Linked DNA regions of Arabidopsis thaliana. The protein of the gene in region 1 interacts with the protein of each later gene in a pairwise test. Each region holds a gene or a part of one and is shown in the gene's direction. Other genes may lie near its edges.

Region 1 (4,434 bases):
AGTAGCATTTTACTTTAGATATCTTCTATTTTCTAATACTTTACTGACCTGGTCGAAATCTTTTTCTCTCCTTTGCGGGAAATCATGAGCCAAGTCAATAAAATTAGCAAACGAGATAAAAGATAGAAAAATGCATATCTAAATTAAAAACATAGAAACTAATTCCACGAATATAGGGCTTAATTTAGGACGATTTTCAGTCAAAAACGTCAAAATCCACGGAACAAGAATTGGGTCAAACTCATTGACCGGTCTAAATAGTTTCCTCCTACGTGAGATCCTTTACCCACGTCAACACCATTATATCTACGTGGGCTTTCCACGTCATGTGAAGAGGAGAATCGAGGGTATCACATTTTTGCATCAAGTCCACGCTGGAATATATTATAAAAATTATGTGAAAATAATTTGTACATACACTGAAACACACATGCATTAGTTTAGTATATACAAATATATACATACACATAAAACCAAAAGTATATATATATATGTATGATTGTTACGTGAAACTCCCATAACCTCTTTTTTTCCAGAAAACTATAAGAATTTGAATTTCTTCTCTGTCCAAACAGAAGAACCTTTGTTCTGTTTTTAATTCAATTACCTCTTTGTTTTTTCAGTTTTTGTTGTTTTTTCCTCCCAATATTTGAATTTCTTCCATGGATTTTCTTGTTCATCATACATCACTCATTCCAATATTATTCCACAAATCATCCTTGAAGCCTCGTTCATTAATTTTCTTGCTATAATTCATATTTTCTCGGGAATTTTCTTTATTTTCCCAGAAAGTTTTCGCATTAACATTGGAGATATACAAAGAACACAAACATGTTGCAAGACATGATCTCGTCTCACTCTCACGATCAGCTTTCCATCGTAATTCTCTTCTCATTATTGCTTTCATTTTTATTCATGCAATGCGTAGATGTTTTTGTCTTTGAAATTTTGCTTACATGTATAGATCATATAAACTCGAGTCTAATCTTATAAACTGATTAATTTTTATTCCGTAGTCTTTTATTCGGCAACTACCCTATAATTTCAGCTAGTTTTTCTTTTTTGGTGTAACGTCATTTTCTTCTACTTATATTCCATTTGATCTTCTTATAAATTGCTTCATTCTTTTCGCTTTTCTTTCTTTGTTATTCTCTCCGCACTTCAATTTGTCCTTCCATGCGATTTTTTTTTGAACAATCATTATCATAATTCTCATTGGCATACGATTATTACTTATAAACCAATAGAAAATCGTCACATGATATGGAACAATATTGTTCTACAAAATAACTGTAACCATAATTCACTATATCTATCGTATTTTAGTATAGATTTTTATTCTCATCAAACGAAAAATGCTAGATTTAATCTCTCACCTTGGATTTTATGCAAAATCTACATATTACGTGAATTTCACTAGGAGCATTGTTTGTTATCATGATGGGTTTGTATATGATCATGATCATAATGGGTTTCACACATGTTCTGATATTTTATGAAGTGCCCTTTACTTTTTCTTTGTGGGAAAAAAATCTGGATGTTGGTTCATACCAGGCAATTTTAAATTATTTTGTCAATACGAAAAGGAAATACCAGAATCAGAAAACTTTCCGTTTATAGAAACTCCACTCTTCTTTACTTTATCTTTTTAGCTATTGGAAGTAATTGGAACACTTCTTCTTAACATGTCACATAAAAGAACAGATGCATTTAATCTCTCTTGTGTTGTCCTCAACAAATATTGATAACAAACAAACATTGGATTTGATCAAGACACCAAAATCTTTGGAGTGTTTGGATGTCGAAAAACAGAATCAAAACATCTTACAGATTCTTAACATAGTTAAGCCAGAACAAAATTACTTAAGTATAAATAAATTTCTCTTAAGATTTAAGAACTAATATCTTGTAGCTTCTTATGATTTCACCAGTTCTAATTTCTTGTGACTCAAGCCAAAACCTTTGTTACCTTTTTTTGATGCTTGGCTTTAACGTAATCTCTTCAAAAGATCTTGGTTCATTTACTTTCCATGCTCGATCTAATCTTTGAAACTAACTATTGTTTTTATTATCTTAACAGGATGATATCACGAGCCCTCTTAGTGCTCAGATCTTCGATTTCTGCGATCCACAACTCTTTCAAGAAACCTTTAATCAATCCTCTGAAGTCACCTCTACTTCAAACATTCTTGAGAAATCCGGAAGCTTCCATTCCAACACTAACACCACCACAACAACTGAGAACAGTAACAACAACAACAACAACAAGAACACAAACCTTCAAGACGATGAAGATGACAACAACAACACGGATCTGTCCATAATCTTTGATTCACAAGAAGATTTCGAAAACGATATAACGGCTTCAATCGATTTCTCATCATCTTCACTGCAATATCCAGTCATCGATCATCTCCTCACGGCAATAAGCCAAGACCAGTTTGATTTCTCATCAGGTCTCCAAGTTATTCATCAGCCTCCTAACATTTCATACTCTGGAGATCCTCTGTCTCTATCGGCGATTTCCTCTCTAGCTCCTCCTCCCTTACAATCAGGGGTTTTCGAAGAAGATTGTCTTTCTTCAGTCCCAAGTTACAATCTTGGTTTGAACCCTTCTTGCTCTTTCTTCCGTTCGTCCGGTTTACCGGCGTATATGAGTACCGGTTTATTATCTGCTGAAAGTAATCTCGGTTATCTTCCCGGGAATATTCATGTGGGATCAGAAATCAATAAGCCACATGATCCACTGATGGACTTTCAAGCTGATAATGGTGGTTTTTTTTGTCCGGATTCCATCAAACGTATGTTTAATCCAGAAGATCTCCAGGTAATTGAGTTTTTGTTACAAATATTTTCCGGTTAACGTTTGGTTATCTTTAAGAACCGGTATGGAGCTAAGATTTCCGGTCACAAGACCGGGTTGGTATTCTGATGTGATGCTAACCGGTTTAATTTTGTTGAAGAAGGCACTTGGTGGTGGCGCCGAGAACCAGAGCCACTTGGTGACACCTCAAGCTCATCCAGCATTAGGACCGGTCGATATAAACGGTTTAGAAGACTCAACGTTGAACAAAGTTGGAAAACTCTCCCCTGAGCAAAGGAAAGAGAAGATTCGTAGGTACATGAAGAAGAGGAACGAAAGGAATTTCAACAAGAAAATCAAGGTTCGGTTTTTATTAAACCAAACCGGACTTAACCGTTGTTAAATGTTGTCCCAATGATTTTTTTGGGGGGTTGTAGTATGCGTGTAGGAAAACATTGGCAGATAGTCGACCAAGAGTTAGAGGAAGATTTGCAAAGAATGATGAATTTGGTGAGCCAAATAGACAAGCTTTTTCAAGCCATCATGATGATGAAGATGAAGACGATGTAAGAAAACCGGGTTATTTTAACTCGATTTATATGAATTTATGTGAAAACTAACTAAGCCGATTGGGTTTACAGATGGGAGTGAAGGATGAGGAACAATTGGTAGATTCTTCAGACATTTTTGCACACATTAGTGGAGCAAATTCCTTCAAGTGCAACTACCCAATCCAATCTTGGATTTGAGTTCCAAGTGCAACACCACATATACCTCATGTTTTAACATGAATCTTATAATAGTTACACAAATAGTATTGCTATAGAGTTATGACTTGTATACTTAGTTTTGTCATGCCCCCAACAAGTTCTGTGACTTCTGTCAAAAAAATAAATAATCTAACTCGTATTGAAAATAAATAATGAATAATGGGTTTAGGCAGGTTTGGATGAATAAATCAGTAGTGAGAATAAGGTTGTAATTATGTTACCTAGCAATTTGGAAATTTTGTAGATACTATGATATGTGATGTCTTGTATTTGATAAGTTGAGTTGAATTTTTTATCACCTGAACACTCTATATATATAATCGTCATATGAGTTATTATTTTGCTTCTCAAATCATTCAGATGTTCTATGCATACAAAATGAATAGACCGGTCAAATTGTCATGTCTAACACCTGGTTAGAAGATCTAATTAGTAATTAGATAATAACTATTTGATCCAAAAAAAAGGATAGTAGTAACTATTTTTAAGAAAAAGATGAAATAATTGGGCTTTAATTTGTTAGTATCAAAATGTTGGACTGGGCCAACAGAGTGTTACAGATCAATTATATAATTAAGGCCTCCCTTGTAGGCTACCATTTAAGATTAATGTAAAGCTTAAACGATTGACAACTTGATGCATGCGCAATAAATGATGATCGTACCATAATTTCATGGCCATATATAGTTGCTAAACTGAAAGAAGAACAAAAAGGTTTGTAGTAACTTTGTAATGAAATAATTCGATATTTTATTATGTTGAATAGTTCTTTTTGTTCGTTTCTGAAAAGTGAAAACCCATTTGCTAATTTTTTTTAACTTCTAAGTTCTAACCGAGGACTGTTAAAATATAAATGGCGAC
Region 2 (3,185 bases), on another chromosome or scaffold:
CTGAGAGATCACGCGAATCTGTGTCATGGTTCAAATGTCTTACTTCCTTTTAGGTTGCAGACAGCCATCCCTCCCGAGGCTAGCGCAGAGTTTCACATCAATAAGGTGGTTGGAAGAAGCGTACCACCGGCGGTGGCGGTGCCTACCATGGATGATGCGACTTCTTACCTCAATGCTGTGAAGGAAGCATTTCATGATGAACCTGCAAAATATATGGAAATTACTAAGCTCTTGACTGATCTTAAAGCTCGTAGGTATGAATTGTTTTCTCCATGTTATGTTTGATTTTCTCAATTTACACAACAAACACACATGTGAATTGATTCTGATATTACTAAGTCTCTTTGTAGAATCAATGCCGCTAGTGTCATTGCAAGGATGGAGGAACTCTTGAAAGATCACTTGAATCTGCTTCTTGGTTTCTGTGTCTTCCTTTCACCTACAAGGAGGTTTATCACGAAGCTTAAGGTAATAGAGTGCTTAAATGCTTATAGTTACTGGATGTTTCTTATATGTTAACTTGTGATTTAAGTAACAAAATTGTGGATGTGCAGGCAAGGTTTCTGGGCGATGGTAGTCAAGTAGTTGACTCAGTTCTCCAGATATTGAGAATGCACAGTGAGGGAAACAAGTCCAAAGATGAGGCGTCTCAGGAGGTATGGTTCTTTGTGGGACACTTTGTGTTGTGTGTTGCACTTTCTTAGTTCTTTGGTTTGATTTGCTTGTTACCTTTTGCAGGTCCGTGCACTTATTCAGGGTCATGAAGATTTACTCATGGAGCTTTCAGAAATTTTCAGTGATCCATAGAGTCTAGAGATAGCTAAGGACAGTACTGGAAGACTATATACCTTAAGAGACGAAAACATTTGAGTTTAGGTTTGATTAACATGACATTCACAAATATGCTATGCTTCTATGTTCAATGAATTGCTGTGTAAGAGACTAAAAGAAAGTGTATTTGTAGAGCTTTCTTTGATATCAAATGTTTTTTTCACTTAATATTTTCTGGTTATCTTTGGGGTCATCTTTTAATAGAAACTGAGAGGAGAAACACTCAAAAACAGAGTTCAACGTAGAAACAAAAACAGAGAGGAACAGAGCCAAAAACTACAGAGCAAACCAAATAAGAATCAAGTAATTCTAATAACAAATATATTTTCTAATTTAAGTAAACCTTATATGAATTACGAAATTGATATACTCCCTAGTATAAATATAGACTCGTGAACAAAAACTCTATGCAGTCTTGAGGTTTTTACTTTGCTTCTAGAAATCTTGAACTCCTTACTCTGCGAAGACGAAGACGAAGCTTCTTCTTGTTCATCATTGCTGCTTTGCTCTGCTTATATCGGTAGCCATACTTGGTTCCTCTTTCGATTTATCATTTGTTTCGTTCAGTTGATATGTCAATTCACCAGACGATTAGGGTTACGATCGAGTTTTCTGGTTCTCTGCTTTCAAATCGTTCCTCAATCTAGGGTTCTTGAGGAAGTAGATCGATATTTATTGCACTTGGCTCTGTTTCTTGAAAAACTTTAAAGAAATAGCTTTGAGATAGTAGATGGATTCAAATGATGTGATCTGACCTGTTTGGATTATAACAATGGTTTTAGGTCACACCATGGATGGAAGAAGCGTACCATTAGAGTTAACTAAGGATGATGAATACTCATAACTCGGTTCTATGGAGGAAGTATATCATGATGAACCTGAAAAATTTAATCATATTCTCCACCTCATACGTGATTATTTTAATCATAGGTATGTCTTGATTTCCCCCGGTTATGTCTGGTTTGTTCTTAAACAAATACAGATGTGAAATTGATTCTCATGTTTCTTATTCTCTTGTGTAGAGACGATAGAGCTAGAATCACTGCATGTATGGGGGAACTCATGAGAGATCACTTGAACCTGCTTGTTCGTTTCTTTGACTTCTTTCCAGCTGAGGCTAGCGAAGGGTTAGCCCAACTTCAAACCATTGCTGCAACAAGCGTATCACCGGATTCTACTATTGATGATGCGGTTTCATACATCAACACTGTCAAGGAAGCATTTCATGATGAACCTGCAAAGTATTACGAGTTTTTCCAGCTCTTTTATGATATCAGGTATAGGTATGTATTGTTGTGTCCCTCTTCAATTCTGTTTGCCCTTAATTTCAAGTCTCAATCTATACAACATTGTGAAGTGATTCTGTTTGTTATATACTATTCTCTTTGTAGATTAATTGATGTTGCTGGTGGCATTACAAGGGTGGAGGAACTCTTGAAAGCTCACAAGAATCTGCTTGTCCGTTTGAATGCCTTCCTTCCACCTGAGGCTCAGAGAATCCTCCATCTCAAGATTGAGCAACGGGCTGCATCTGATATTAACAAAAGAAAACGTGTAGCGAGTTTTATCGGCAAGCTTAAGGTATAGAGTGCTAAAATACTAAAACTAATCCTTACCATTTACCATTTTGATGTTCCATCTATGCTAACAGATCCGTCGATGTACAGGAAAGGTTCCAGGGGGATGATCGTCATGTATATGAGTCGTTTCTCGAGATATTGACAATGTACCAAGAAGGAAACAAGTCCGTGAATGACTTGTACCAGGAGGTAGGGTTCTTGGTTGGGACACTTTGGTTGGATTACACTTTCTCTTAGTTCTTTGGTTTGATTTGCTTTGTTGTCTTTGCGGGTCGTTGCACTTCTTGAGGGTCATGAAGATTTAGTCATGGGGTTTGCAGACGTTTTCAAGAGACCCACTGATCCATCAGGGTCAAAATCTGCTAGAGATAGCTAAGTACATTAGAAGACTGTCTCTGCTTTAGTATAGGATGCTTTGAATATAATGCATGTTTGGGGTATAAGAGACAAAAAGAGTAGTTCTTTCTAATGAGAAGTGAGTGTATAGTTTTCATATGAGATTAGTTTGATTCTTACTCCATAGAGAACATGATGTCATGATATGCAAATATGCTTTTATATTTGAGGTGTAGATTGATTGGATATAAGCGACTAAAAGAGAGTGTATAGTTTCTTCTGACATGTACATGTATGATATTTTCCTCGTTACCAAGAAGACATGAGATTTTGGGGTCATCTTAGTTCAACGTAGAAACAAAAACATAGAGAAACAGAGCCTTAGCACAAACCTATAAATGACCAAAAAGTACAAAGCAAACCAAACAAAAATATAGT

Evidence for each region.
Region 2: the proteins of AT2G33350 (region 1) and AT1G27280 interact in a two-hybrid assay, tested with the Arabidopsis thaliana proteins (one large-scale study listed by BioGRID).

The regions. Positions count from the first base shown.
Region 1 is NC_003071.7:14,133,285-14,137,718, forward strand, and holds AT2G33350 (CCT motif family protein), read left to right. Parts: upstream 1-1,857; 5' UTR 1,858-1,918; coding exon 1,919-1,993; intron 1,994-2,080; coding exon 2,081-2,827; intron 2,828-2,963; coding exon of another isoform or gene 2,964-2,966; coding exon 2,967-3,164; coding exon of another isoform or gene 3,165-3,206; exon of another isoform or gene 3,207-3,240; coding exon 3,241-3,369; intron 3,370-3,444; coding exon 3,445-3,552; 3' UTR 3,553-3,877; downstream 3,878-4,434.
Region 2 is NC_003070.9:9,472,343-9,475,527, forward strand, and holds AT1G27280 (Paired amphipathic helix (PAH2) superfamily protein), read left to right. Parts: upstream 1-1,684; coding exon 1,685-1,761; intron 1,762-1,853; coding exon 1,854-2,114; intron 2,115-2,222; coding exon 2,223-2,412; intron 2,413-2,498; coding exon 2,499-2,648; downstream 2,649-3,185. Other genes in the region: AT1G27270 (Paired amphipathic helix (PAH2) superfamily protein), read left to right, coding at 1-254, 351-468, 555-656, 739-807.